4 linked regions of the Anolis sagrei genome follow. The protein of the gene in region 4 purifies or fractionates together with the protein of the main gene of each other region. This does not show direct contact. Links are inferred from orthologs where the notes say so. Each region holds a gene or a part of one and is shown on either strand. Other genes may lie near its edges. The genes, in order: SNTB1, MARK2, DTNA and UTRN.

The links.
Region 1: the proteins of UTRN (region 4) and SNTB1 purify together in Homo sapiens (affinity purification with mass spectrometry; 3 studies listed by BioGRID and IntAct, with this or other methods). This does not show direct contact. The link is inferred for Anolis sagrei from reciprocal best matches to the Homo sapiens genes UTRN and SNTB1.
Region 2: the proteins of UTRN (region 4) and MARK2 purify together in Homo sapiens (affinity purification with mass spectrometry; 4 studies listed by BioGRID and IntAct, with this or other methods). This does not show direct contact. The link is inferred for Anolis sagrei from reciprocal best matches to the Homo sapiens genes UTRN and MARK2.
Region 3: the proteins of UTRN (region 4) and DTNA purify together in Homo sapiens (affinity purification with mass spectrometry; 3 studies listed by BioGRID and IntAct, with this or other methods). This does not show direct contact. The link is inferred for Anolis sagrei from reciprocal best matches to the Homo sapiens genes UTRN and DTNA.

Annotation. Positions count from the first base shown.
Region 1 is NC_090024.1:21,345,299-21,353,675, reverse strand, and holds the start of SNTB1 (beta-1-syntrophin), read right to left. Parts: upstream 3,233-8,377; 5' UTR 3,005-3,232; coding exon 2,476-3,004; intron 1-2,475. UniProt on the Homo sapiens protein: Adapter protein that binds to and probably organizes the subcellular localization of a variety of membrane proteins. May link various receptors to the actin cytoskeleton and the dystrophin glycoprotein complex.
Region 2 is NC_090032.1:14,867,748-14,875,350, reverse strand, and holds the start of MARK2 (serine/threonine-protein kinase MARK2), read right to left. Parts: upstream 3,239-7,603; 5' UTR 2,742-3,238; coding exon 2,688-2,741; intron 1-2,687. UniProt on the Homo sapiens protein: Serine/threonine-protein kinase. Involved in cell polarity and microtubule dynamics regulation. Phosphorylates CRTC2/TORC2, DCX, HDAC7, KIF13B, MAP2, MAP4 and RAB11FIP2. Phosphorylates the microtubule-associated protein MAPT/TAU.
Region 3 is NC_090024.1:54,069,881-54,078,360, forward strand, and holds the start of DTNA (dystrobrevin alpha), read right to left. Parts: upstream 3,447-8,480; 5' UTR 3,238-3,446; coding exon 3,221-3,237; intron 1-3,220. UniProt on the Homo sapiens protein: May be involved in the formation and stability of synapses as well as being involved in the clustering of nicotinic acetylcholine receptors.
Region 4 is NC_090021.1:76,107,327-76,114,937, forward strand, and holds the start of UTRN (utrophin), read right to left. Parts: upstream 3,277-7,611; 5' UTR 2,694-3,276; intron 1-2,693.

The sequences.
Region 1 (8,377 bases), on a different chromosome or scaffold from region 4:
GAGCCGAGGAGCCTTCTAATCAAGGTGAAAGAAGAAAGTGCAAAAGCTGGGTTGCAGTTGAAACATTTAAAAAAAACCCAAGATTCTGGCAACCGGACTGATTGATAACTGGCAAATAGAGGGAGAAAAAGTGGAGGCAGTGACAGACTTTGTATTTCTAGGCACAAAGATTACTGCAGACACAGACTGCAGCCAGCAGGAGATGTGTAGTTCTTGGGAGGAGAGCAATGACCAATCTTAATAAAATAGTGAAGAGTAGAGACATCACACTGGCAACGAAGAACCACACAGTTAAAGCAATGGTATTCCCCGTAGTAACCTACGGATGTGCGAACAGGACCATAAGGAAGGTTGAGCGAAGGAAGATAGACGCTTCTGAACTGTCGTGTTCGAGGAAAATTCTGAGAGTTCCTTGGACTGCGAGAAGATCCAACCAGTCCATACTTCGGGAAATAAAGCCCGACTGCTCACTGGAGGAAAGGATAGTAGAGGCACAGTGGAAGTACTTTGGCTACATCATGATAAGTCAGGAAAGCTTGGAGAAGACTATGATGCTGGGAGAAATTGCAGGAAAAAGGAAGAGGGGCCAACCAAGGGCAAGATGAATGGATGGGATCCCTGAAGTGACTGGATTGATCTTGAAGGAGCTGGAGGTAGTGATAGGCCGACAAGGAGCTCTGGCCTGGGCTGGTCCATGAGGTCACGAAGAGTCAGAAGTGACTGAACGAATAAACGACAACAATCACAATAATTGCAGATGCAGTCACTCACTGAAGGGTGAAAACCTTCAGGGCAAAAGTATGATAGCTGGGACCCAACACTACGCTAGTTGCATAACGCAGCTGTGAATTAAGGAAGGGAAGAAGTGTGTGAGACAGCAGAGCAAGTAAGAGACACTGCTACGTCAGAATACTGGAAACATTGTTCACCAGAAAGGGAAAGAGGAAACATTCCTACCCCGTTTACCGTCTTCGTAAGCCATTGTTTATCATTTCACAGCAAATACCTCTAACATTACTTCCCTTCATTAATCCTGCCCCCGCGTTGCGCAACCAGTGTAGGATCCCAGCTACTAGCGTAGGGTCCCAGCTATCATACTTTTGCAACCTCCAGAAAGGCACACAATTGCAAAGCTTCTTTAACTCCCATTATTGCGAAAAGCATGGGGTATAAATAAATAGAATGCCAAGTTTGCAAACTTTGTGTTTTTTAAAAAAATACAATACAACTGTTTGGTTTGCTTCTGACACGATAAATAAAGAAATACCAGATTGCCTTGTGTTCAGCCTGCTTTCCCCCAAAGCTCCTTGCTCGCTCCCTTGGAATGGGGGTGCTGAAAAAACAATTGTGCTGTTCCAGCAGTCCCCAGCCAATCCCTCTCCAATGCCAGAAATACAGCTTAATGGTGTAACATTACCACCTCTCCACAAAAGTCAACATTGACACTGAAATGCAATGCCACCTGAGCTCTGCGAGTGCACCATTTTTCTGAATGAAGCAGAGAGTGTTTGAGGACCGGGGCATCTGTAGGGATACCAAGGTGCTTGTTTATAAAGCTATTGTCCTCCCAACCCTGCTATATGCCTGTGAGACGTGGACTGTCTACATACATCACATGCAACTCCTGGAATGATGCCATCAGCACTGCCTTCGGGAAAAACTGCAAATCTCTTGGGAAGACATGCGGACAAACGTCAGCATGCTTTTTTTTTTTTTTGTCATGTCAGGAGTGACTCCTGGTGTGAGAGAATTGGCCATCTGCAAGGACGTTGCCCAGGGGATGCCTGGATGATTTGATATTTTTATCATCCTTGTCCCCGCATGAGGAGCTGGAGCTGATAGAGGGAGCTCATCCACCTCTCCCTGGATTTGAACCTGTGACCTGTCGGTCTTCAGTCCTGCCGGCACAGGGGTTTAACCCACTGCGCCACCGGGGGCTCCTTCAGTGTGCTGGAAGAAGCAAAGACCACCAGCATTGAAGCGATGGTCTTCTGCCATCAACTCCGCTGGACCGGCCACGTTGTCCGGATGCCCGACCACCATCTCCCAAAGCAGTTGTTCTACTCCGAACTCAAGAATGGAAAACGGAATGTTGGTGGGCAGGAAAAGAGATTGAAAGATGGACTCAAAGTGAACCTTAAAAAACTCTGTCATAGACACTGAGAACTGGGAAGCCCTGGCCCTTGACTGCTCCAGCTGGAGGTCAGCTGTGACCAGCAGTGCTGTAGAATTTGATGAGGGACGAATGGAGGGTGAAAGAGAGAAACGTGCCAAGAGGAAGGCGTGTCAAGCCAACCCCCACCTGGAAACCAATGCCCTCACTGCGGGTGAAGATGCGGGTCAAGAATAGGGCTCCACAGCCAGCTAGGGTATCTTGGAAGACTATCCTACTGGGACACGGAGGGCTCGCCTAAGGCAGTGAGGTGCCAAGCCCTGCCGGATGCTGCCCAGGAGGAGCAGGAGCCTCAGCCCTACCTTCGAGGAGGACCTCCCTCCCGGCCCGCTTGAGCGCCTGCACGGCCTCGTCGTGGGTGGCGTCGCGGAGGTCTGCGCCGTTGACGGCGAGGATGGCGTCGCCCACGTAGAGCGCCTGGGTCTGGTCGGCGGCCAGTCCCTTGAAGATCTTGCTGACCAGGATGGGCATCTTGTTCTCCTTGCCGCCCTTGATGCTGATGCCCAAGCCGCCCGCCTCCTGCTTGAGCACCTTGACGCGCCGCTTGGCGTTGGCTAAGGCTTCGGGCACTTGCTCGGGCAGGTCCGTGAACGCCGTCCGGACGGAAGCCGAGTCCGAGCCCGCTCTGGGGCCATGGCTAGGGCTGCCCGGCGCCCCGAGCCCGTTGTAGAGGCCGCCTTCTCCGCCGCCCCCCTCCTCGGCGCTCAGGACCAGCGCCTCCTCGCCCAGGCTCACCAAGACCCGGTGCCAGCGGTCGCGCACCAAAACTTCCAGCGCGCCGCTCCGGTTGGGTCCCCAAAGGCCACCTCCGGACGCCGCTGCTACCGCCATCTTTGGAGCATTGCTCCCCAAAAGCCCTGGCACTTCGGGGATCCCCACGACACCCCGGAAGGAGGAGGGAGCGCTTCGGAAAGCGGCGAGCGCCGGGAGGAGAGAGAAAGGCGCACGGCGCGCAGGACTTTCGCCTCCGGGAAAAGAGAGAGAAAGAGAAAGAGTGGAGGAAAGAGAGAGAGAGGTTGAGAGAGAGAGAGAGGCTCCGGGAGGAGGAGGGCCAGCCCCAAAGCACTCCCGCCGAAGGGGAGGAGCGGGCCAAGAAAGCCAAGCGAAGTGGGGAGGGAGAAGGAGAAGCCCAAGTCGGCGCGGAGTGGAGTTGGGAGAGAAAGAGGGCACTTCCTTGGCACCGCTTCAAGCGCCCCGTTTCAATACTTTGGTTGGGACTTGCAGCTTTGCACGGTGCTTTCCTGCCCAAACGTGCCGGTGCCTCCCCAAACTATACATCCCAAGAACCCAAAGCATTGAGCCCGCGCAATGGAAGCGGCGTGGAGTCTGTGGACGGCATCCCATGCGCTCTCACACTCTCCTTTCAAACCTGAATGGGGAAAAAATCACGAGAGAGTGCCATTGAGGAACGTCGCAAATATTCACTATCGGATGCCTACCGTTTGACACCACTTTTGACCTCATCACACTAGAGAATGAATCCGCTTTAAATCCGGTTTCTGCCTCCTAGAGAATTCTGGGGTTTGTAGTTCAGTGAGGCTGCTAAAGGCTCCTCTGGAATATTGTTTACATCTGGAATATTGTGTCCAATTCTGGGCACCACAATTGAAGGGAAATATTGAGACGCTGGAATGTGTCCAGAGGAGGGCAACTAAAATGATCAAAGGTCTGGAGAACAAGCCCTATGAGGAGCGGCTTAAAGACTTGGGCATGTTTAGCCTGAAGAAGAGAAGGCTGAGAGGAGATATGATAGCCATGTATAAATACTTGAGAGGAAGTCATTGGGAGGAGGGAGCAAGCTTGTTTTCTGCTGTCCTGAAGACTAGGATGCGGAATAATGGCTTCAAACTACAGGAAAGGAGATTCCAGCTGAACATGAGGAAGAACTTCCTGACTGTGAGAGCTGTTCAGCAGTGGAACTCTCTGCTCCGGAGTGTGGTGGAGGCTCCTTCTTTGGAAGCTTTTAAACAGAAGCTGGATGGCCATCTGTCGGGGGTGCTTTGAATGCGATTTCCCTTCTTGGTGGGGGTTGGACTGAATGGTCCACGAGGTCTCTTCCAACTCTATGATTCTATGATCCTCCTTAAACTACAATGCCCAGAATTCTGCAGGAGGCAGCAACTGGATATAAAGTGGATTCATTCTTGAGTGTGATGAGGTCCAAGGCCCTTTCCACACAGCTGAATAAAATCCCACATCATCTGCTTTTAACTGGAATATATGACAGTCTGGATTCAGATACTCTAAAATCAGGACAGTAAATCAACAGCAAGACTCAAAAAGCAGGGGAATTCCAGACAATAATCAATCAGGGCCAGGTAACACCTCCCAGCAAGGGATCCCCCCAGGCAGCAACCAGCCAGAACTCTTGTCTGATTGAGGCAGGTGTGAGTGTTGCAAATAATCACCTTGATTAGCATTAGTGGCCTTGCAGCTTCAAAGCCTGGTTGGTAGCTTCCTGGGGGAATCTGGCTACCAGTATTTTTAAAAGACCTCTAAAATCAGGACACTAAATAAAGAGCAAGACTCAAAAGGCAGGGGAATTCCAGACAAGAATCAATCAGGGCCAACTAACACCTCCCAACAAAGAATTCCCTCAGGCAGGAAGCAGCCTGATCTTGAAAATGCAAGGCCATTAAATGCTAATCAAAGTAGCCAATTGCAACAAACACACCTGCCTCCAACATACAAGAGCTCTTTCTACCACTCTGGCCCTTACTACAGATAAACTTCACTTTCCAACAGACCTCACAACTGCTGAGGATGCTTGCCATAGATGTAGGTGAAACATCAGCAGATAATGCTTTTGGAACATGGCCATACAGCCTGTGTTTGGCCAATGCTACATTTGGTGGTCCCTATGTAGACTTGTCCACAGCTGCATGGTGTAAGTAGACTCCTGCAAAGGTGAGAGGATCTCATATAAGTTATAGTTTGCACTGTTGCATTGTACGGCGTACACCTGCACATAGAAGGCAAAAGATTTTGTAAAACTATATTTCCCATGGTTTCATAGCATTGGGCCATGGCAGTACAAGTGGTGTCAAAATGCATTATTTTTTTACAGTGTAGATGCATGTGAAATGCATGGAGTTCAGCACAAGCCCCCCCCCCCCCCCCGCAGAGTATTTATTTGCAGCATAGTTTAAATGCCATGGCTGAATGCTATGAAATCATAGGATTGCAGTTTGGTGGGTGCCAATCTCCCAGTCTCTTGGATGGAAAAGGTGGGAATCTTTGTAAAATTACAACTCCCATCATTCCATACCATTGAGCCATGGCAGTTCAAGTGGGGTGAATGATGGTCACTTACCTGTAGCCATGTTTCCTTGAGTGGTCATCTGTTAAATTCGCACATATGGTAGCTGATGCACCATATTTGTGTATTTCACAGAGACCACGAAGGAGAAATGATGGTTGCTTTCCTGTAAACATGTTTCTTTGAGTGGTCATCTGTGAAATTCACACATATGGTGCATCAACTACCATATGTATGCATTTATTATTATTTATTTATTAACTTTATTTATACCCCGCAAAATCTCCCAAAGGACTCGATGCGGCTTACAAAGTTCAAGGCCACCAACAAACAACAGCATACAAATACAACAATAAAATTCATAAGCAAATAAAAAAACAGCAAGCAAAACAATAAAACACTAAAAACAATGACACCATGACGCATTTAAAACCTAACCTTTCACAGAGACTACGAAGGAGAAAACAAAATTAATTCTACAATGTAGAGAGATTACGAGAGGTGATGCAAAAGTGCCTCAGGAGCGGTCTCCTTAGTTTCCACTGTTGTTGTTGCCTTCCTTCAAGTCATTTAGACTTAAGACAACTCTCATACAGAATGATCTGGAGCTGAGATTTGCCCTAAATCACCCAGTAAGAAATCAAACCCTGGTCTCCAGACTTGATCAGACCACATTGGCTGTACCTTAGCAGCAAACCAGAAGTGTTTTGGATCCCCCTCTCCCCCCCCCCCCCCAGATTTTGGGATAGTTGCATGTTAATAGTGAGACATATTGGACTGGGACCCAAGCCCCAATAGGAAATTCATTTTTTGTTTTGTAGACACCTTGAATATGTCACCTGAATATGCTTTTAGACACACTTATGGCAACTATAAGGTTATATGATTTCCTTGGCAACAGCTGTTCAGAAGGGGGTTGGCATTGTTTTCCTCTGAGACTGAGAGAACATGACTTGCCCAAGCTTTCTGATGACTATCTATTTATTATTATTATTATTATTATTATTATTATTATTATTATTATTAGTAGTAGTAGTAGTAATAGTAGTAGTAGTACTGGAGTGACTTGAGAAACTGCAAGTTGCTTCTGCTGTGAGAGAATTGGTCATCTACAAGGACATTGCCAAGGTCACACTCGGATGTTTTACCATCCTGTGGGCGGCCTCATTCATGTCACCGCATGGGAAGCTGACAGACGGGAGCCCACTCTGCTTTCTATAGCCAAACAGGAATGTCTCCGGAGTCTTAGACCAACACTCAAATCACTATCCCATGCTGACTTTCCCCAGGTTGAGTTTCCTTTATCCAAAATATTTGGAACCAGAAGCATTTGGGATTATGTTGATTCCCCGACCCCATTTCAGAATATTTGCTTATTCATAATGTGATATTTTGGAGTTCAGACTCAAGTCCCAACAAGAAATTCACTTACATATTTCACAGACAGTTCAAACATATCACCTGAATGTATGTTTGGCTATAATATTATATAATTTGAGGCATGAAGACAGGTGTTTATCCACTGCCTCTTCAGAAAGGAAATAGGCACTATCTCAGCAACTCAGATTTTGGAGTATTTTGCATTTCCAAATAAAAGATTCCAGATATAAGGACTTTCTCTGCTGTGTTTCTTCACTCCTTGCCCCAGGTGTGGGTGTGTTATGTGCACTGGAAAAAGCAGGCTAGGATGCCCTAGGAAATAAAGGCCGCTTTTATGAATTGTTCCTGATTTTATTGCCTTGACTTGTGATGCAATCTCGGCTCAGTCCGGAAGCAATGCAGTGGGGCACGGCACTGGAAATCTGTGTTTCCCAATTCAAGTCTCTTGCGAAAGTGTCATGCTGGTTTGGAGCAATTTGAGAGTTTCGACCACAAAATGGGACCTTTGGGGTTCTGTCTGGAAGCTAAGCAGGCTCAGACCTGGTTACTACTGGGATGGGGGGGGGGCACCAAGGAATACCAGGAACTACAGGTTATATTCCAGAGGAAGAAACTGGCAAAACAACTTCTGAGTATTACTTGCCTAAGAAAACCCGATGAAATACATGAGAATACAAGTCAGTAAGCAACTTGGAAACACATATATTTGCAAGCTGTACCCTTCATCATGATCTGTATTGGGTAGGGCCAGCAAATGGGAATTGTAGTCCAGTGTCATCAGAAGGGGAACTGTGTGCTCTGGTTCTGACTTTAATGGAAAATTTCATATTTTAGCTCTAGGGAACATGGAAACTTGCCTATATTTTGTCATGTTTTAATTGGTCTTTATTAATGCAGAACTCTACTGAAACTGTCTACTGCATTTTTATTTTACACCACCCTATATTATTAGTACTTTTCATGTTGCTGTTACTGCTACTTTTAGAATTGTGTTAAGTGACTGCTGCTGGTTTCCAAAACTAGCAACACCTGAATTTGTTAGACTACACCCATAATTTAGCAGTTTCTTGTTTTGAACATCCTTGGTTCCCATTGAGTGAGTGTGTGACTGGTGAGAGAACATGCCTTCTGCACACCTGCTTATTACAGACTTGTGCAAACAGTTGTGAACACTAGTTGGAGACAGAAGAGCCATTCTTTAAAAACTCTTTTATCATGTTCTTGTTTAACTTGTTTACCTGTGTTATATTAATTATTTGGTTTATTTATTATGTACTTTTGGCATTGGATTGCTGCCATTTTATTTGTGAGTCCCCAGAGGGAAGATGGGTTGGGATACAAATAAAGATTATTATGTGATACATAACAAGATTAGTACGCAGCAAACAAGATCACTATGCTGGCTTTTGTATTTGATCACACATCAGACACTTCCCAAGTATCTAGTGACTATGTGATGTATCAGTGAATAATGTGTGCAGATCTGAGTAGGATGGCCATTTATAGCTGGCAGATGGTAATTTTTTCAGCACTGATTGTTTTTAAGTGCAGGCCAAGGTCTTTAG
Region 2 (7,603 bases), on a different chromosome or scaffold from region 4:
CACCTCTATAACCAATAGAACAGTGGTTCTCAACCTGGGTTCCCCAGATGTTTTTGGTCTACAACTCCCAGAAATCTCAGCCAGTTTACCAGCTGTTAGGATTTCTGGGATTTGAAGGCTAAAAACATCTGGGGAGCCCAGGTTGAGAACCACTGCAATAGAAAATACTTAATGCCATCCAGTCCAACTCCCTTCACTAGGGCAAGAAAACGTAACCAAATAGTGTTTACCCACAAGCAGAAAGAAATTACATATATTAGAAACCAGCACTTTCTCATTACTTTATTTTCCACAGCAACGCCTTGCAGGGAATGGCTAGTAATATAATATATAGATTTGGATGGAGTGACACTTTTAAAATGTAAAGAAATTACATATATTAGAAACCAGCACTTTCTCGTTACTTTATTTTCCACAGCAACGCCTGGCAGGGAATGGCTAATAATCTATATAAATAAAAATGTAATGTTCCTTTGTGGGATTAACAGAACTCAAAAACCACTGGATGAATTGACACCAAATCTGGACACAAGACACCTAACAACCCAATGTATGTCCTTCACTCAAAAAAATTGATTTTGTCATTTGGGAGTTGTAGTTGCTGGGATTTAGAGTTCGCCTGCAATCACAAAGAGCATTCTGAACCCCACCAATGATGGAATTGAACCAAACTTGGCACACAGTTCTCCCATGACCAACAGAAAATACTGGAAGGGTTTGGTGGGCAGTGTCCTTTGGTTTTGGAGTTGTAGTTCACCCACATCCAGAGAGTACTGTGGACTCAAACAATGTTGGATCTGGACCAAACTCTACATGAATACTCAATATGCCCAAATGTGAACACTGGTGGAGTTTGAGGAAAATAGAATCTTGACATTCGGGAGTTGTGGTTGCTGGGATTTATAGTTCACCTACAACCACAGAACATTCTGAATCCCACCAACGATAGAATTGGGCCAAACCTCCCACACAGAACCCCCATGTCGGCCACAGCAACGCGTGGCAGGGGACGGCTTGTAAAATGAAATAAAAATAAAGTAATAAAATAATAAATAACCTTAACTCGAGTATAAGCCAAGGGGGGCTTTTTCAGCCTAAAACAGGGCTGAAAATCTCGGCTTATACTTGAGTATACACAGAACCCCCATGTTGGCCACAGCAACGCGTGGCAGGGGGCGACTAGTATAATATATAGATTTGGATGGAGTTACACTTTTAAAATGTACCCACAAGCATAAAGAAATGACATATATTAGAAACCAACACTTTCTCATTACTTTATTTTCCAGATCACCAGACTGGGCCACAGCAACGCCTGGCAGGGAATGGCTAGTAATATAATATATACATTTGGATGGAGTGACACTTTTAAAATATAAAGAAATAATAATAATAATTATTATTATTATTAAACTTTATTTGTACCCCGCTAGCATCTCCCGAAGGACTCGATGCGGCTTACAAAGGCCAAGGCCTCAACACACAATATAACAATACAAAACGTAAGGCAAATTAAAAACAATTAAAGCAATACAAACAACAAGCAATAAACAATACACTAAGACACAATAAAACTGGGCCGGGCCAGAGTAATGGGTACAGGATTAAAAGTGCTGATGTGACAGGTGGAATATAAGGCTTATAGGGCAAGTGCAGTGTGCGATGTGCAGCAATCTTATGGGACTTGGTATTGGAGATTTCCTAATCTGGGAAGGCACATCGGAACAGCCAGGTCTTCAAGTTCTTTCTAAAGACTGCCAGTGTAGGGGCCTGTCTAAGATCTTTGGGGAGGGCGTTCCAGAGTCGGGGGGCCACCACAGAAAAGGCCCTGTCTCGTGTCCCCACCAACTGCGCTTGTGAAGCAGGCGGGATCACGAGCAGGGCCTCTCCAGATGACTGAAGTGCACGTGTGGGTTCATAGACGGAGATGCGGTCACGCAGGTAGGATGGTCCCAAACCGTTCAGGGCTTTGTAGATAAGCGCCTGCACCTTATTTTGGGCTCGGAAAATAAACGGCAGCCAGTGGAGCTCCTTGAACAGGAGGGTTGACCTCTCTCTGTAAGGGGCCCCAGTTAACATCCTGGCTGCTGCTCGTTGGACCAGTTGGAACTTCCGAGCCGTTTTCAAGGGCAGCCCCACGTAGAGCGCATTGCAGTAGTCCAATCTGGAGGTGGCCAAGGCATGGACCACCCCGGCCAGAAATTACATATATTAGAAACCAACACTTTCTCATTACTTTATTTTCCACAGCAACGCCTGGCAGGGAATGGGTAGTAATATAATATATACATTTGGATGGAGTGATACTTTTAAACTGTAAAGAAATGACATATATTAGAAACCAGCACTTTCTCATTACTTTATTTTCCACAGCAACGCCTGGCAGGGAATGGCAAGTAATATAATATATAGATTTGGATGGAGTGACACTTTTTAAAATGTAGAGAAATGACATATATTAGAAACCAGCACTTTCTCGTTACTTTATTTTCCAGGGAATGACTAGTAATATAATATATACATTTGGATGGAGTGACACTTTTAAAATGTACCTGTTCTGACTTCCATAGGTGTTCAACTTAAGAGCAAGGCTACAGACCCGGTCTCGTTCGTAACTCGGGGACTGCCAGTCCTGCCTTTGGGGGCCTAGAAGAGGCCCCTCGTGGATACTCTTTCTCTCTGCTTACCTGCTCGGTGTTCTCCGTCAAGGTGGGCAAGGGGCTCCGTCCGCTGTTGGACATGGCTGCCTGTGGCAGGGCCTGAGGGGCGGTGGCCCCCCCAGCTGCTGCTGCCTCCTTCCTCTTTCCTGCTTTCTGGCCCAAAGGGAAGGAGCCTGGTCCCTCTTCTTCTTCCTCCTCAAGGCGAGGGGGGAGGCCAAGCCACCAGCATGGGGAACAACCAGGCTCGGTTGGAAAAACACCAGTGTAAGAGTTCCCCCCTTCCCCGGGCTCGAGTGAAGGATGCCCGGCTTGACGTTTCACGCGAGGCCGGGGATGCGGCTCGGGAGCTAGGCCGCACCGGTCCGAAAGCTCCCAACGGAGGGACCCTGTCAACCAAAGTCAATGCCGGGCTGCTGCGAACAACTCCGACGCCCGCCTTGGCCTCCCAGGCCGGGCACGGACTTCCCCTTCCCTTCGCCGCCCCGGTGCCCGAGCTCCACTCACCGCCGCTCTGCTTCACACAGCGGCGGCTCCCAACATGGCCGCCGCCGCCGGGCTTCGGGAAGTTCCGCCGACTTTCCGGAAACGCACGATCCAGGCGGGAAAAGTCCCACGGTGTACGGAAAGAGCCGAAAAGGGATGGACAAAGTTGATTGGTCCACGAAAGGCAGGCGGGGGCGTGGCCAAAGCTTTGGCACTGAAAGAGGGCAACTTCGAGAAAACCTTCCCCAAGCGGTTCGGAAAGGAGGCGGAAATAGCCGAACAGGTTTCGGCTCGCATAATACGGAAATAGCCGAGCGAGTGTACGGAAACAACCGAATGAGTACTATCGAAACTGCCTTCTGGTCCATGAACCTGGGATGCAGGAAACAGGCAGGGATCCTCCGCCCCCTTGTGGCCAGTGACTGACACTGCAGGCGCACAATACGGAAATAGCCGAGCGAGTTGAGCTCAGAGTGTACGGAAACAACCGAATGAATCCTATTGAAGCTGCAGGAAACAGCTTGCCCCCTGGTGGCCAGAAACCGACACTGCAGGAAGGACCAAAACAATAATAATAATAATAATAATAATAATAATAATAATAATAATAATAATAATAATAATAATAATAATAAGGACTGCAATCATAGAATCAAAGAGTTGGAAGAGACCTCATGGGCCATCCAGTCCAACCCCATTCTGTCAAAAAGCAGGAATATTGCATTCAAAGCACCCCCGGCAGATGGCCATCCAGCCTCTGTTTAAAAACTTCCAAAGAAGGAGCCTCCACCACACTCCGGGGCAGAGAGTTCCACTGCTGAACGGCTCTCACAGTCATGGGCCGTCCAGTCCAACCCCATTCTGTCAAAAAGCAGGAATATTGCATTCAAATCACCCCCGACAGATGGCCATCCAGCCTCTGTTTAAAAGCTTCCAAAGAAGGAGCCTCCACCACACTCCGGGGCAGAGAGTTCCACTGCTGAACCCCTATCACAGTCAGGAAGTTCTTTCTCATGTTCAGATGGGATTTCCCATCCAGATAGGCCCAAAATGGGGTTGAAATAGGATCCAATGGGATTTCTAATCCACATAGGAGCAAAACTGGACTCTAATAGGACTGAAATTAGATTTATATCCCAGGTAGAACCAAAATGGGGCTCTAATAGGACTAAAATGGGGTTTCCAATCCAGATATTACCAAACTGGGGCTCTGAAATGGGATTTCTGATCCACAAAGGGCCAAAAATGGGGCCCTCATAGGACTAAGATGTGATTTCTAAACCAAATAGAACCATTTATTATTATTATTATTATTATTATCATCATCATCATCATTATTATTATATGCTTTCTATTATAAGATTTTTTAAATGTTTATTATAATTTTTACATTGTTTTAATGACATCACATGTTGTAAAGCCATCTAGAGTCCCCTTTCGAGTGGAGAAAGTCGAGGTAGAAATGGTGTAAATAAATAAATATTTAGTAGTACTAGCATTTTAATGTATTAGTATTATTTAGATGAGAGACAGGGCCTTCTCAGTGGTGGCCCCTCAGCTGTGGAACTCCCTGCTCAAGGATATTAGATCAGCCCCCTCCCTCCTGGCCTTTTAGAAAAGATCGAAGACCTGACTTTTTGAGAAAGCATTTGGAACTTCAGTGTAAATTCAAATAGGTATATAAACATGGAATGGCTAAGACAATGTAAACAGATGAGAATAGAACCGGAAGATATTGGTTTTATAGATTTATATAGTTTTTATTGCTTTTATGGTTTTATATGTATTTATGATGTAATTTAATTGCTTTTAACTGATATATGTATATATATATATATATATATATATATATACACGTGGCATCTAATTGTGCTGGTTCTATATATTTTTATTATTTATTTTGTTATTTTGATTTATTTATTTATCTTTAAAATTATTTATTATTATAATTAGATTTTTATTTATTTCTATTTCTATTTATTTTATTTATTCTATTATTTATTTATCTTTATCATTTTTATTATTATAATCAGATTTTTATTTATTTCTATTTCTTTTTATTTCTATTATTTATTTTATTATTTTTATTTATTTATCTTTATCATTGTTTACTTTTATTTTATTATTTTTATTTATTTATCTTTATCATTATTTATTATTACAATTAGATTTTTATTTATTTCTATTTCTATTTATTTTATTTATTCTATTATTTATTTATTTATCTTTATCATTTTTATTATTATAATTAGATTTTTATTTATTTCTATTCCTTTTTCTTTTTATTATTTATTTTATTATTTTTATTTATTTATCTTTATCTGTTTATTTTTATTATTTATTTTACTGTTTTCATTTATTTTTTATCTTTATCATTTATTATTATAACCAGATTTTTATTTATTTCTATTTCTATTGATTTTTATTATTTATGATCCTTTGCTGGAGATTATTATAATTAGATTTTCATTTATTTCTATTTCTATTTATTTTATTTATTCTATTATTTATTTATTTATCTTTATCATTATTTATTATTATAATGAGATTTTTAATTATTTCTATTTCTATTGATTTTTATTATTTGTTTTATTATTTTTATTTATTTATCTTAATCATTATTTATTTTTATTATTTATTTATCTTTCTTTATCTTTATAATTATTTATTATAATAATTAGATTTTTATTTATTTATCTTTATAATTATTTATTATTATAATTAGATTTTTTATTTATTTCTATTTATTTTTATTATTTATTTTATTATTTTTATTTATCTTTAACATTATTATTATCAGATTTTTATTTATTTCTATTTCTATTTATTCTTTATTTATCTTTATTTATTTATTTATTTATCTTTATAATTGTTTATTATTATAATTAGATTTTTATTTATTTCTATTTCTATTTATTTTATTATCTTCATTTATTTCTGTTTCTATTTATTATTTATTTTATTACTTTTATTTATTTATCTTTATCATTATTTATTTTATTTTTTATTTTACTATTTTATTTTTTCATTTTTCATTTTTTTATTATTATTATTTTATTTAAAACTGGACTCTAATAGAACTGAAATGGGAATTATAATCCAGATAAACCCAAATGGGGCACTAATCTAATATTATTAATAGATTAATTGTTATTATTAATAATAGATTAATCTATTATTAGAGGAATAGGACAACTGACCTCATCATCCCCAATGAGCTTCTGCATTGCCCTAATGACTGGTCCCTTTGCCTCCCTCCAGTGGACACACTGAATATTACACCCTCTCGATCTCTCCCTTAGAGTTGCCTTTTGCCCAAGGCTCTGCAGATCCAATGTACGGTCCTTTGCTGCCATCGCGTGGCCGAAGTGGAATATTGCACCCTTTTAGTACAGCCGGCTGCAGAGTTCTGTGTAAGACATAGGCTCTTACTCTTTGCTGCCATCCTGTGGTCACTGTTGAACATTACATACTGAAATAGCATTTTATCTTGTTGTTTTTGTTGTTGTTGTTGTTATTATTATTATTATTATTATTATTATTATTATTATTATTATTATTATTATTATTGCTACTACTCTAGCACAATGAACTCCATCAACAACGGACTGGAAAATTATCAGAATGAGATGCATACTTTTCTAATTCTATAGATGCTGACCACTGTGTGCACCATTAAGAGGCTGGATGGCCATCTGTTGGGAGGGCTTTGATTGTGCTTTATATGCATGGCAGAAAAAGAGGTCAGACTGAATGGGCTTTGGGGGTCCCTTCCAACTCTAGGAGTCTATGAGCCTGGATGGCTATCTGTCAGGAGGGCTTTCATTGTGCAGAAAAAGGGGTTGGATTGGATGGCCTTTGGGGGTGCCTTACAACTCTAGGACTCAATGAGGCTGGGTGGTCATCTGTCAGGAGGGCTTCAATGGTGTTTTTCCTGCACTGCAGAAAAAGGGGTCAGACAGGGTGGCCTTTGGGGATCCTAACTCTAGGATTTCTATGAGGCTGGATGGCCATCTATTGGGAGGTCTTTCATTCTGCTTTTCCTGCATGACAGAAAAAGGGGTTGGACTGGATGGCCTTTGGGGGTCCCTCCCAACTCTAGAATTCTATGAGGCTGGGTGGCCATCTGTCGATAGGGCTTTCATTGTGCTTTATATGCATGGCAGAAAAAGGAATTGGACTGTATGGCCTTTGGGGATCCCTTCCAACTCAATGGCCATCTGTTGGGAGGGCATTGGTGGTGCTTTTCCTGCACAGTAGAAAAAAGAGGTCAGACTGGATGGCCTTTGGGGGTCCCTTCCAACTTTAAAACCCTATTAGGCTGGATGGCCATCTGTTGGGAGGGCTTTGATGGTGCTTTCTCTGCATGGCAGGAAAAGGGGTTGGACTGGATGGCCTTTGGGGATCCCTTCCAACTCTAGGATTATAGAGGACTCCTAGTTTGTGACCGTACAATAAAA
Region 3 (8,480 bases), on a different chromosome or scaffold from region 4:
TCAGAATGTTCTGACAGGAATAGCAGTTAATGTTTCTTCACATGTCATGTCAATGAAAGAATTATTTCTGGTTTTGTTGTAGGATTCGCCCACTGCATTCCTAGCACATTGTAGACAATCTTTCCTTTCAATCTCCTTATTGTTTTGTATCATGTGCAGTTATAACCACAACACATAAGTATTCCTGATTTGGAAAGAACTAAAGCTCAGAATCAGAGAATGTATTTTTCATGCAGGATGAGGCAAGATGAGGCATAAAGGGCATTCTGACTCCATGGTTTGTTTCCACTAGAAGTTGATCATGGAGCCATGCTAAACAACCTGACAATCTTCAAAGAGGTGTCAACTCTAGGCATTTCTGAGGTCCTCCAGCATGAGTTTATACTATATATCTACTGGAAGTAGTTCATCCAATAGGGTTCCTTATTATTGATTATTTTCACTAACTTTGTTAAGTCCAGAAATGTATCCCCTATGGATATGGTGGTCATACAGTATAGGAAAATGATTATCTATTGTTGTGGCTGTTGTTGTTATATAAACAACAAACTACATTCAAGGTGGCTTGAATGTGATTAGCTAAACCAGAAAATCCATGGATTTTAACACACAATAAATGATTACATTACAAAAGCAGCATCCGTTTGAAACACTGTAAAAGAAGTAGGATACTTCCAAATAAAACCTTTATGGTGTAATTGTTTCTCTTCATTCACAGAGCTGGGGGGAAGGGTGTTTCAGGTATCTTCCATTTATAACCCTGATGTGTTTTCCTGCCCTTTTATCTTTTTTTCTGTCAAAAAGGGATTGATAGTACAGCTGAATAATGTCTTTTTTATTGCTAGCAGTAGGAACTTGTCTGGATGTAGTCAAAACATTTAATTAAAAGTATGGTTCAATAGAAATCTTCACTACTGACCTAACATTGCAAAGGAATGTAGGTAGGCATACTGCTCTGGAAAGGCTTTACCAGGATTTGGACACCAATGACTGAGGGCCCCTCCACACAGTCATATAACCCAGAATATCAAGGCAGAAACTGGGTTATCTGAGTACACAATGACATATATTCCAATTCAAAGCAGATATCGTGGGATTTTATTCAGCTGTGTGGAAGGGGCCTGAGAAAGTCTCATTGCTCTATTTGCTCTATCCCATATGCACATACATGACACATACATCATCCTCTATTAGAGGAAACCAGGAAATCTTACAGAGTGACTTTTCACTAGATGTGAGTATGCTCAAGTACTGTTTCCCTATGTATGTTATACACAGAAGGAAAGGAGAGTATACATTTAAGTATGAGCAAAATCTTCTGGCAAAATCCAGCTACAACACAGATGAATGTTCCACTGATATGAATAAGAGTTAAACATCTGTTTAGCTCTGAAATGAGTGGGAATAATAATGCAATCCTATGGATGTTTAGTTAGGAAATAAAGACAAATATTTTCAACATTGCTTATTTCCAGGTTCATGTGCATAGAGCTTCAGTATAAAAGGGATTAATTTTGGCTGGGCTATGCCCTAAATACATGTTTTAACAGTTTAGTATAAATCTCTTACAGAGTTTTCTAGATTCTAAGAATATGCATATTTAAATTACTAAGTTATGCCTAGAATTGAAAAGCTACAAGCACCTGACCCAGACCAATTTCAAAAGTATTTGTTCCCAACTTGACTTTACAACAAGGTATAGTGCCAACACTGCCCCGTCCACTTCTAAAATTGGAACTGTACCCGTTCACTAAGTAGCCTAATGGCTGACCAGGTTGGGGTTGTTCAGTCTACTTTGTGAGTCACAAAGCTTAAAATACTATGATTATACATACAGCAGTACACAAAAATCTGAAGATTAGAAGTATTAAGTTAAGATCCCATTCAGCACATTATAATCCCCACATTCCTCCCCTCCATTTTGCATTTTGTTCTTGCAAATTATTTCTACTTCCTCTCGGTCATGGTCACCAGGGGAAAAGCAACGACTGCATATATTCAGTTTTATTTTTGCTATTTATACACTCCTCCTCCCAATTCTCTTGAGCACTGTGACTTATGGAATTAGTTATCAAAGAAAAGGAACAGAATGTCAGGTGCAGAAGATTTTCTGTTCAAAAATGATTTGAGTTGTAGCCAAGTGTTTCTCCTCATATTTTCAAGTTGAAGATATCTTTGTGAAATTTAAGAGCTCTCTAAAATGCAAGCAGAGGAACAGTAATTTTATATCTCCATAAAAAAAAACATTTTGCCTCCTACAGCTAGTGCAAAAAGCCTTGTTACAGATAAAATTTCAAAAATGTAATATTATTAATGGAGTGGAGGAAATATTTTACACCATAATAAAAGTGCAAGCTACAAATGACTTCATAGGAGACCAATATTTAACAAACACCAATGAAGTAAAGCACAGCCTATGCATTACATTTCATTTTGGCAAGGAAGTAAATAATATGCCTGGATCCTTCCTTCCTCTGTGTCATTTTTTAAATAATATTGTTTTTAAAATAATTCCATTAAATCTCTTTCTCACATGTAAATAACGTAAGTATTTTCTTCCAAAAGATCTACCAACCTCACTGGAATATACACATAAATAGCTGGACGTAATGTTACAATTCAAATGAAGATAAGTAGACTCATCTAATAAACAAGCACTTGCTTACTTTTGTTCAATTAACCAAAAGATCACTCTTGATTACTGCATATTTCTAATGGAGCATAAATGCACAGACAAAAAAACTAAACAGTCCACAGTGAAATACCCTGCCAAAAAAGCCAAACTGAAGCTTGGGGATACAAAAATCTATTTGTGTTCCCAAGCTACACAGAACCAGTGCCAGAATCAGAATAGAATAACAGGAGGCACTAAGATGCATCTAGGATAGCCTGCTACTATGCTATATACACAGAAATACGAATTTGCTCCTAAATTTACTATGGCCGAAGTGCTTTTCATTCTGCAATTGAAACAAAAAGATTTAGCACACCATTAGGGCAAAATAAATCTAGCAGGAAAGAAACACTGCTTTCAATCTAAATATGTCTTCATGCATGCCACAACAAGAAAAGTTGTATAATGCCAATTCGCTGAGGCATGCACTCTGAAGGGGCAAACAGGGAACATTACCTGTAGGCATGCCTCCCTGTAACGTTCAGACCAGAAGCTGAACAAGCATGGTAAAAGAAATAAGGAGTTCAAATGAAGCTTGTTACTTACCCTGCAGCATGCACCATGATCTTCTTACACACTCCTAGTTATTCCAAAACACTAAATGAGAGTCTGATAGAATAAAAACTGAGGTGCCTTGGAGGCAGTGAAAAGAAAACTCCCAAGGCAACAGTCTTCAAGAGACTAAGTTGAAACTAGTGCCCAAGATGCTATGTACTCTTGGTTCTATCTTTAACTTGTAAATGATTTGGTTTCACATTCCTCTGAAGTCCTGCTGGCAGATGCCTTCATGAGGCTTACCAATCACAAGCACTCAGATCCACTCCCTTTCTCTTCTCTCCCCCACCCCCTGTTACTCCACCTCCCTCACTTTCCCTCCTTTGGAGAGCCCCAGACAGCTGCTGCTTCTGCGGTTGTTGTTACCTGTCTCGGCAAGATGAAAGAAGACGCTCTCACTGCTTCTCCTTGGTGTTTGGGTACAGGCAGAAATTGAAGCCCTCCTGCCATGTCTCTCATTCAGGCATTACTGCAGTTTTGCAGCCAGGAATAAACTAGCTTCCAAACTTGGCTGCCCAGGAAAGGAATGTTCTGCAAGTGACATTCCTGAGAGCCTGCGGCAACAGAGGACAGGAGCTACCCGGCCTTAAGAACATGCGTAATTATGTGCTCTACATCACTGAGCATATAGAGAATCCCAGAGCTGAGTGAAAAGAGCAACACCCACTCTATGTCACAATTGGAACATCCGTATTACCAAAATGAACAGCATCTATCTACATCTGGATCCCAAAGCACTTTTTTGAGGGCATTCTCTCTTGGAAAGAGAGACAAGAACACCTAAATAAATAAACATGCCTGTTTGTAAGAGCCCTATATGTCAATGAAATTTATTTCCATGAAAGCGTTACTTAAAACTGCAGTTATAATAACATTTAGAATTGCATTGTATCAGCAGCATTAAGACACTGCATTCACAATCTCCGAAGGGGCATTCCCTCCATATACTATGTGGAAACTAGTGGCATAAATCTGCTTACCTGCAAATCTAGTAAGTTCTTGAACTAATTATTATTTTGTCTTTTGGATTATATTCTGAAGCTATCAGAAGGTTTTAATACAATCAAGCACTTGGATTCAATGTATGTCTACACTCGTAATTTTTAGTAATTAGTGTTACTAGCTTTTGGTAGATCTACCTGCTATACATTTGTCTAATCTTACTTAAAGTCATGTAAGAATACTGTAATTCGCTTTTGGGAAAGCTGAAAAAAATGTAAGCTTTATAGATATCTTGTCTTCTCCATAGCACTTTAAGAAAAATTATTAATGGATTTAGAAAAACAGGCTGGTACAGAAACATCAGGGAATGATGCCAAGCCGATTTCCAAGAAAGAGGTAGCTGAAATCTAATACTGCTGCCAAATCTAATATTAGCTAATGACTAAGTGTGCCTATTCTGCATGGGGAGAAAGGGGAGAAGAATATGTCTTCCTTTTCTCATGCTAAAATCCTAGATTATTCCAATTAAACTGAATAGTTGAGACTGAGGGCAAGTACCTTTATACCATGTAAAGGGAAGCTGTGGAATTCAACATTAAAAGATAGTCATGGCCGCTAACATTGATCGTTTTTAGGAAGGATTATAAAAAAAATAATGGAGGACAACAATGGCTATTACTTTCAGAAGAGGCATGCCTTTCAGTACGTTCATTTATGAGGGAACACAACCATTAATGTCCTAGAGCAATTGTGTTCTGCTGGTGGACTTCCTATAGATATTCCCATTCTGAGATCAGAATGGCAGATTGGGAGAGATTTGTCCTGATCTAACAGGGCTGTTCTGATGTTCTTGCCATGGGGAATGTGCCTATTGCAGTCTGGATCTGCAACTAATCATCCACTGAATCTATTTTTATTTCTTGGCCACCCATTTCACCTCACAAATCTCACTTAGGAAAGATATTTTCCAGACCCTCCTTTAAGTTCGGGAATCTGAGTGGCAGTCTTTTAGCCCTTTCCTGTTTTCCCAATTATTCCCCTGCTTTACGAATCTTAACAGTCGTATCTTAGAGAGGTCACTCCTCTTTGTTAGCCCATTAAAATTATTTCCCAAACTTATTTAGACAAGAGAAAGAAATGGGAAAAATGAAGGGAGGGAGAAAGAGAAAAAACAAGTAAGTAAAAGGAAAAGAAAGGAAATGGAGAGAACCTCAGACAAAACACTGGGAAACCAAGACATCTACGTTCTTATCTGTTTTTTCAATGCTATCTTTCTATATATCTTCCTACTTCCCACTTATTATCAGCTAATCTTTGTATCTTTTCACACTGCCATTTTGTCATATCTTTCTACCCCCCCCCCCCCACCCTCCAATTCCCTTTTATCATATCCCACACGAATCTTTATCTGTATCTTTAACTCTATATAACTTTCTTTATTTAAAGACCACCATATTTTTATGCTATACTATTTTTAATGTACTCTTTAAAAATTAAATAAAGATTATTAAACAAAAAAATTCCCAAACTGTTATGATGCTTAGATAAACTCTTTCAACTTTTGGGGCACCCAGCAGGATTTTTTTTTCATCTCAGGAGAGACTTGAGAAACTGCAAGTCGCTTCTGGTTTGAGAGAATTGGCCTTCTGCAAGGATGTTGCCCAGGAGACACCCGGATATTCTGATGCTTTACGATCCTTGTGGGAGGTTTCTCTCATGTCTCTGCACGGGGAGCTGGGGCTTACAGAGGTAGCTCATCCATGTTTTCCCTGAATTCGAACCTGTGATCTGTCGGTCTTCAGTCCTGCCAGCACAAGGGTTTAATCCACTGTACCACCGGGGGCATGATTTCCCAGATTTATAATGTCCCCTTTTTATTTCTAAAACAAACTTTTTGGAATTTTGCCTTTTGACTCGACAAGTTGCTGCTGCCATCCTGACAATAACTAAGAATGTTATGTGGCATCTCGAGGCATCTACCATGGTTTTGTGTTGAGTTAGGTCTGGTTGTTGCTTGTCCTTTCTGAGAGCAATCAGTTTGGAATTTCAAATGGAAACATGGCCCAGACACTTTGATGACAAGTTGGGAAAGACTTTGTCAAATGTTTACGAATCTAGTACAATATTCCAATTAGATATACCTGCCACAAATGATAGATATTAATCCTGAACTACTGAGTAAGGCTGCAATCTGATACAAACCTACCACATATAAAATCAGCTGCAGTGGAGCTTGCTTTTGAGCTTGCTTCGGTCACCTGGAAATGTACACTGTACCAAACTTCAGTTCAGAGACAGTTTAACTGAAGGCAAGACTAACAACTGGATTTACTTTGCCTGCTTGCTTGCTTATTTTGTTTGATACTCAAAAGGCTTTGAAACATTTTGAAACAGTATTTTAGAGAATTAGCTACCTAAGAACTAAAAAATTCAATGTACACTATCTGCCGGAACCCAGATGCCTTAAAGAGCCAGACACAAGGAAGTATTCAAAACAACAGTTTATTAAATCAAAGTAAACAGGACTCAGAGACACTTGCCTCAGTGTCTCTGGTCAAAACTCAAAGTTTGCAGCAACTTGCAGCTTAAAAAATGAACTTAATTAATTGATTGATCTTGGAACTTGGAATAATGGATGAGGAGATCAGATTATGACTTTACTGATGAGACGTGATGGATTAGTTATATGGATGTATTGATGTTAGATTGATGTACTGATGTATTGTTATATTGATGTAGTTGCCTTAGTTACTGTTTTAATTGCTAATGTTGTGCACTTTGTATATTGGTTTGGTTGTAAACCGCACTGAGTCGCCTATGGGCTGAGAGAGTGCGGTATACAAATAAAGTAAATAAAATAAATAAATAACTTGGAAAATAAACTGGATTAAACTTGCAAAAAATCGGATTAAACCAGTGTTAGTTCAAAACACACCAAAATCACACAGTTCAAAGATAATGGTAAAACAAAGAGCCATGAAGAAAAGCTGTCGTCCAAAAACAGTCCCAAGTTGAAGAAATCCCAGATGAAGATTCCAAAGTCCCAAAGGTAGCATCGTTGTCAGAAACAGTCCGTGGTCAAGGAGAGGGGAAATCCGCACTTACGAGAATCCAAGCCGGATGATGCACGAAGGGCTAGTAACAATTTCCTTCCATGTCACCTCTCATTTTTGTAAATGCGTAAAACTTGCTTATATCCTGTGAGAGATGGGGTTATAAAAACGACCAGAAGTAACTCTACCACTATCTCTCTCTGGAAGTTTTATAGATACTAAACTTCTAATTCTGAGACTGTCACAGTTTATTTGCATTCCATTCCCTGAAAGGACTTGTAGCGATCTGCAATTATTAAAGGTCTCAACCAGAGGGTAACAAGACATTCCCTTTCTTTGTTTCTCTTTTGACTTCACAAAGTGTTAGGCTTCAATGTCTTTGCTTACTACACAGCAGAGTTGGGAATCAAAAAGTCCACAAAACATTGTAGGACTTCAGCTACCAGGAGGCCTCACCACTGGTTATGCTTGCTAAAGCTGCTTGGACTTTATAGCTCAGCAACATGTGTAATGACATCTATTTCCCATTCCTTAGACTAACTGATATATCCTACAATGAATGAAAACTGGGACATACACTAGTCAATTAACCTTAGAAGCAAACATTATGAATGTTGAAGAGCAGACAAGCTGGCAGAGACTGCAGGAGCTTGCTTTCCTGACCCCTTTCCCTTCCGCCAAATTATCAAAATACTGTGTCATGGACACCTCCATGCCATGCGTTTCATAGCCAAGGTCAAGGAATTAAAACATCAGGAGGCCTTGAGTGGGAAGGAGCCTGATAACATGAATTGGCTTGGACTGGAAGGTCTGGAGGTTGGATGGAGGAACTTTTGGGAGTTGGGGGTGGGGGTTGGGTTTTGGTGGATTCTTCATTCATAATTTTGCTGTATAGTAGTAACCTAGCATTAAAGAAATTTCCAGGATTTCCCTGTGAGGGAATTTAATTGCTACCAAAATTCTGTGATCATCATATACATATTATTTTTGTATGTTAAGATCTATTTGCAGCAATTGATGGCAACAGGACAAATGATAGGAGAAGAGAGAAACTGGAGGCATGTTAAAAACAGCTGAAAAATGGGGTTGAGGGTTGATAGAACTGACCTTACAAAATGGGGACAGTTGGAGGGTACACACACACCACCAACAACACTACCAGTGCCAGAAGCCCTGAAGCTCCATTGCCTTTGATAATCACTAAATTTTGTATTTTAACTCAACTTGATGTTTTCTGGGTAATAAAGAAACAAAAC
Region 4 (7,611 bases):
TAATGAGAAGTATTTTCACACGCCTTCCCCACCCAAGCCAAAATGCATAGTAACCTAGGACAGCCAAGTTATTCTGGCACCAGCGGCAGAAAGTCTCAAAACGCCTCCTCCTTTCCTGGTAATAAAAATACGAACATAATGAATTAAATAACTAACAATTTTCTGCCTTTTCACGGCACACCCCAAATCCATTGCCTGAGGTGTCTGCCTCACTCTACTTAATGGTAAGGCTAGCTATGAAAATTTTGTAATGCCTTTGCTCCATGGAGAACTCCTACCAATTAGCTAAAGAAGGAATTATTTTACAAAAGCTTAATGGCCTTTTAGGACCATCACAACCACCTATCTCCTATGTACCTATGCACACAAGCACATTGAAAGCTGACTAGGGCAGAGGAACGAAAAGCTGCTTGCATGGAAGTATCCTTTAATCCACCCTATAAGTAGATACATACTCGCACAGAACTAGGAGGCAAAAGGACTAGAAGCATTTCCCCAGCCCACTCTGACCAAATCACCTGATGAAGGGGCCTCACTAATCCATGGAAGCTTAGACCACCCCAAATTTGTTAAGTCTCTCAAAGGCAAGAGAATTGTGTGCTAACATTTTCTAAAGAAACATGGCATTTATTGAACTGGGGGAAGGACAAGTAGTCCAAAAATTCCTAGTCTGATAAAACAGAATAGGCCACCCTGGGTTTTTTTCCCGTGTGTCAGATGCAACTTGAGAAACCACAAGTCACTTCTGGTGTGAGAGAATTGGCAGTCTGCAAGGACATTGCCCAGGGGGTGCCCAAATATTTCACCATCCTCATGTTCCCACATGAGGAGCTGCAGCTGACAGACAGGAGCTCACCCCATTCCCTGGATTCAAACCACTGACCTTTCAACCTTTTAGTCAGCAGCCCTGCCGCACAAGAGTTTAACCCAGTGGTTCTCAACCTGTGTGTCCCCATGTGTTTTGGCCTACAACTCCCAGAAGTTTCTGGGAGTTGAAGGCCAAAACATCTGGGGACCCACAGGTTGAGAACCACTGGTTTAACCCACTGAGCTACTGGGGCTCCACCTTCAATGAAAGCCTGACACCACATTATCTGCCCAGGCTCAGTGCTATGGAATCCTGGGAGATTTAGTTTCACAAGGTCTTTTGCCTTCCCTGCCAAAGAGTGCTGATGCTTCACCAAACTATAACTCCCAAGATTCCATAGCACTGAGCCATGGCAATTAAGGTCTTGTCAAGCTGCATTCATTCTACGGTGCAGATAATTGCTATAGTTTGAGTGTTGGATTAGGACGCTAAGGAGCAGGGCTTCCAATCCTCACTCAGCCATGAAAACTCACAATGTGGCTCTGAACCAGTCAAACTCTCCCATCCTCCGAGGAAGGCCAAGAAAAATAAGTAAGGCCAAACCTAACAGATTCCATAATTCCATAGCATTGAGTCACGGCAATTCAAGTTTGACCAAACTGCATTAATTCTACAGCAAGGATGGGCAAACTTCAGCCCTCCAGGTGTGAGGAACTGTGAAGTTGCAGTCCAAAACACCTGGAGGGCTGAAGTTTGTCCATGTCTGTTCTACAGCATAGATCAGGCATAGGCCAACTTGGGCCCTCCAGGTGTTTTGGACTTCAAGTGTCGCCATTCCTAACATCCTCAGTCTCTTTCCTTAAGCGGCTGAGGGGGGAAAGGAAGGAGCCTGAGGCTGTTAGGAATGGCGGGGGTTGAACACCTGGAGGGCCCAAGCTGGCCTATCCCTGGCATAGATGCACTCTGTGGTTTCAATGCTGGACTAGAACTTTGGGGACCAGGGTTTGAATATCCCTGAAGGAAAAACAGTAACCGTTGCTTGTCTCAAGGGTCACCCTTAGTGGGGAAGGACTTGAAGGCAAACAGGAGCAATGGAAGGCCATCTGTGTGTGGGGTTTTGGGGGGATACAAGCCAATTGGGGGCCTTGAAGGCACAAGTCAAGACCTCTTCCAAACAAAATGGGGTGAGCTCCCACTCAAACATTATCACTTATCTGTTGACTTTCCTAATCCTTGGTGAAAGTGAATGCTGTTGGATGGACAGCCAGCAGGGCTGCTGATCGAAATGTCGGCAGTTCAAATCTGGGGACCGGGTTGAGCTCCTGTCTGTCAGCTCCAGCTCCTCATGCAGACCAAGAGAGATGGCTCCCACAGGATTGTAAAACATCCAATGTCCCCTGGGCAACTTCCTTGCAGACAGCCAATTCTCTCACATCAGAAGCGACTTGCAGTTTCTCAAGTCACTCCTGACATGGAAAAAAATTGAGGGTGGCCTATTCTGTTTTATCAGACAAGGAAATTTTGGACTAACTGTCCCCACATCAAAGATGGCTCTGTGCTGCGGAGATGAAGTTTTACATGGTCTTTCTCCTTCTCTGCCAAAGAGTGCTGGGGCCTCCTCAAACTGCAAACTCTAGGATCCCACAGCATGGAGCCCTGGCAGTCCAAGTGGTGCCAAAGTGCATTCATTCCACAATGTGGATGCAACCTAAGCCTCTCCCATTGAGGGTCGGCCAGATAGGTCTATGGTGAAGGGAGGGGGGAGGCTATGGAGGGAGGGATGAGGTCCTTTTCTCCTCCCCTGTCGGCCCTCCTGCCCCCCTCCCCTCCCCTCCCCTCCCACCCCACCCCACCCCACCCGCCTGTCAATCATCGCCCAGCTTACCTGCCTGCACACCAACCCCGCCAGAGGCTTCACCTCCCGCAGGGTCCCATGCGGTGCGGAGAGTCCACCTATTTCTCTCTCTCTTCCTCCAAACTCAGCGCCAAAGCCTCTTCCAAAAAGTTCCTGGAGGAAGAAGGCAAAGTTTCCTCCCAATCCGCTGACTTTCGTTCCTTGGTGGAGTTGCGCAGCCTAAGCGCCTCTCCTCTCACTTTCTGGAGCCCTGTGGGAGGAGGAGGAGGAGGAGGAGGAGGAAGGGGAGGAGGAAGAAGCGCCTCCTTTCCTCCCTCCCTCCCTCCCTCCTTCTTTCCCTCCCGCAAGGGCTCAACTTCGCAGCAAGCAAGCAAGGGGACGGACAGACGGACCGAGGCGGCTCCTGCACCCGGCGCGCCTCTTCCTCCTCCTCCTCCTCCTCCTCCTCCTCTGGAGTCTGCCTTTGTTTGTTAGGAAGGGAGGGGAGGAAGGGGCTCCGGGCCAGCCAGCTTTGGCGACTCTTTGGCCCAGGCTCTGCCTCTTCTGTCCCGCAAAGCCAAAGGAGAAGGCGGCGCTGACAAGGCACCCAGGTGGTTGCGCGCGCCCACACCCGCCCCCCTCCTCTCCTTCCTCCTCCCCTTGAGGCGCGTTCCCGCCTTCTCAGCAAACTTTCTGCTGCGCTGGGAAGTTTGCTCCCGGAGCCGCGTGCACGAGCATCCGCGCGCGCGCGCTCACCGAACTCATCCCTTCGTCCCCTCCCTCCAAGGAGGTTCGCGGCGTGGCAGAGAGTGTCACGTGACCTGCCGGCCTGTCAATCAGCCCCAGACACTAGGTTTTTCTTTTTCTTTTTTTTTGTTTTTGTAATTTTCTTTTCCTCCCAGCTGAAGGCTGTCCGTCCCGCCTCCTCCCCGTCGGAGAGGCAGAAAAGAAGTAATACAGTTTGAACTGGGTTGCTGTTGAGTTTTCCAAGCTGTATGGCCATGTCCCAGAAGCATTCTCTCCTGACGTTTCGCCCACATCTATGACAGGCATCCTCAGAGGTGGTGAGGTCTTTTGGAAACTAGGCAAGTGAGGTTTATATATCTCTGGAATGTCCAGAGTGGGTGAAAGCTCATTTAAATACTGGTAGCCGGATTTTATTCATTTTCATCCACAAACGTGGACAATTTCAACAGAAAGGGGAAAAAAACAGGAAAATGAACAAAATATGGCTACTAGTATTTACAAACTCTAAAATCAGGACACTAAATAAAGAACAACACTCAGAAAACAGACAGGAAGCAGCCAAGTCTTGAAGCTGCAAGGCCATTCAGTGATAATCAAGGTGATCTATTGCAATATTCACACTTGCCTTGAGCAGACAAGAGTTCTTTCTCCCACCCTGGACACTTCACAGATATATAAACCCCACTTGCTTTGTTTCCAACAAACCTCACAACCTCTGAGGATGCCTGCCATAGATGTCGGTGAAACGTCAGGAGAGAATGCTTCTGGTATATGGCCATACAGTCTGGAAGATTCACAACAACCCAGTGACTCCAGCCATGAAAGCCTTTGACAACACAGATTGAACTGCCATGGCTCAAGGCTATGGAGTCCTGGAATTTGGAGTCTGGTGAGGCTTTGGTGGCAGAGACAGTGAAAAGCTTGTAAAACTACAACTCCCGGTATTGCACAGCATTGAACCCTGGCAGTTAAAGTGGTTGTCAAACTGCATTAATACTGTAGATCAGGAAGGGGCAAACTTTGGCCCTCCGGGTGTTTTGGACTTCAAGTCCCACAATTCCTATTAGCCAAGTTGAAGTCCAAAACACCCGGAGGGCCAAAGTTTCCCCATGCCTGCTGTAGATGATCCCTGTGACCCAAACCACCTCATGAGCTTTGTGGCAGAATTGAAAAATTGCATGGAGAGCACTCAGGCTACTACATCACACCACATCTAATTTTTCATCAGGTGTGGATGGGATGCGGATATGTACAAAAGAGGAACCAACCTTGACCTAATGTGGCTCAGAGTCTTGAGGCTCTGGAACACTGCTTCTTAAGTTTTGGGTCCTGACCCCAAAGTGAGTCCCATTCCAGCTGGTGTTGAGAGTTGAGTGGGCTTCAAGAAGGGTTTTAGAATGGAAATCAATGAACAGGTCTGTTTTTCAGGCATGTTATGCATGCAAATCACAACTGGCTCTCCATGTGTTATTGGTTTTAATGTTTACAGATTTGATCATTATGGATTTGATTGAAACATTTGTTCTAGAAATATCTAGGTCCTCCAGTGCAATTCTGTAGCCAACTTCTGCTATACTGTAGCATATAAAGATTTCCAGAGAAGTGTTCTGTCAGGTTTTTTAAAGTGTGTTTTTAATTTGCTTTTTTTTTCAGTTGTGCAGTGATTCTGCATTTCTACCTGCAAGTAGAGGGTAGAAATGCAGAAAGTGATAACATGTGCCACCTCTGTGCACATGTTATCAAAAACCAGACCTCAAAAGACGAAACCAAGAATCCATGTCTCCATAGGAACCAACAGGGTGTCTGTGGTGACCCTTTCCCTAGTTTCAGGCAACCCTTCAATGAACTCACCTAAATGTTGCTTAAGCACTATGTGCACACCACACACACCTCCGCGAATGTCCAAACATTTCGTTATCATAATCCTTTCACAATGCCCTGAGAGAGACAGGACACAGAACAGGCTTAGGATAAGCCATAGGGCTTTTCTAGACATTGTCTGATTTTGTTCCTAGGAATGTTTCCTCATCCCAGTCCCTGGAATGGACCCCTTCCCTGGGGTCTCAAGACTTCTGTGCCAATAGCCTGGACACTACTTTGTGTACCTGGCTGCCACCCATTTTCCTGGTAGAAACAGAACCATTTCAGCCTATCATCTCTAGCCCAGCCACATTCCTTTCTACTTGCACCTTTGCCCTGAGATCAATAAACAGGCTCAAACCTTCAAAAAACCCCAATGATAGTTTATTACATTTCCCACATCTGAAGCCAATCAGCTATGATAATGGATGGAGCTCTTGGACCTATCAGGAGGTGGATTTAGCTGGCAGCATTTTGCATCAATCAACAGCCAGCATGCTAGAGTCTCTGTTTTGAATAGCTGTCAAAGTGTTATAAAAAATTCTATATGTTTGCAGTTGCACTTATGTCACTTTTTGGGGTGCTGCTGACTCTACTGACATCCTCTTTGGCCAAGGAGAATTAAGCCTCTGATCTTTGCCTTCATCCATCTGTGTCTCATTCAATCCTTTGGAAACTTCACATGCCAAATCTTTGGTCCTTGCAATAGCTGAAATCCCACAACACACAGAAGCCAGGTTACAAACCTTGTACTAGAAGCAGAATGCTGGTGGTGCAAGAGGAGAGGTACTAGAAGTACAATAAAATGCAATTTATTGCACTAGAAGCATCTTCGGTTTATTAGACGGTTTAAGTGTCAGAGTGCCATCAAAAAATGGAAATGGTTGAAAAGTGGAACTCAAACATTCATGTATATGTATCCCAAAACCCAATACCCAAAATACCCACTTCATATGATACATATTATATTACTGTGTATGCTATACGTGCGTGTCACTGTATAAGCACAAATATAAGCCCTGTATGAATGCTGTATTATAAGCACAAATATTGTACAGTATTTATTTATTTATTTAAAACATTTATATTCCGCCCAATGCCAGAACATAAATAAATTATACTCATACATAAGCATTAAAATAATTTATCTGGCATTAAAATCCACGGTATAAAACCGTCTCAATCACCCATATTGAATCTAGTCGGCATGGTAAGGTTTCCTATTGCACTGTACCAAAAGCTTGGTCCCACAGCCAAGTTTTTACCATCCTTCTGAAGATCTAATCTCACCAGGAAGGGAGTGCCATAGCCAAGGGGCAATCTCTGGGAAGGCCCTCTCTCTTGTCCCCGCCAATCGTGCCTGTGACAGTGGCAAGACAGTATTATATTAGATGCACTGCCCACGATTTCTAAGGGTCCTTCCAGTCAGGCCCTATATCCCAGGATCTGATCTCAGGTTTTCTGTTTATTCCAGATTATCTGGTAATGCGGACTCATATAATCCAATTTAAAGCAGAAAAACTGGGATGAGATCCTGGGATATAGGGCCTGTCTGGAAGGGATCTAAGATGAATATAATCAACTTTGCAAATAAAAAAAAATCCTCAAAAGTCAAACCTGTAAATGTGGAAGACTTACTGTGTTTTTCAAATGTAATTCAAACACGTCACAATGAAATATTTTTTTAAAATTAAAAAATGTTTATAGACAGTATATGAACAATGGACCTAATTATTCCTGCCTATTTTCTCTTTGCACACTATTTTAGACAATAGCAATCTATCCTTATTTAAAATTAAAATAAAATACAGAACTAAACAGAAAGGTAATACAGTACTGTTTCATTCATATTGAGAGAGTAGTTTACAAACAGAAGCATTAATCCCTTAAACAATCATTAATTGGAAGTGGGAGGATGATTTTTTACTGAACTGTTAAATTTAAAAGATACCCTAATAGAAAACTCCTCAGCTTATGCTTAGGAATATAGGAAGCTACACGGCAGTTTATATAAATCACCATTCATCCATCTAGTTTGGTATGGCCTGTGCACGGAGTCTAAGCAGTTCTCCAGGTACTTTTCCCAGTTCTACCAGACACTGAACCTTGGATCTTCTGAATACGAAGTGTTTTGTGCTCTTGCAGACTGATTCAAGACTTCCTAAGAAATCTTTGAATAGATGGGTGAAGATCAGCCAGCACAGAATAAATGTATTAATTGTTGTTAACTACCATGAAGTATGATTAGGTGTATGGTGATCCTACAAATGAGAACCCGGTTAATAACCCCGCTTGAGTCTTGCAATTTAGGGCCATGGATTTCTTTATTGAGTCTATCCTCCTTCAAGGTTGTTTTCCTCTT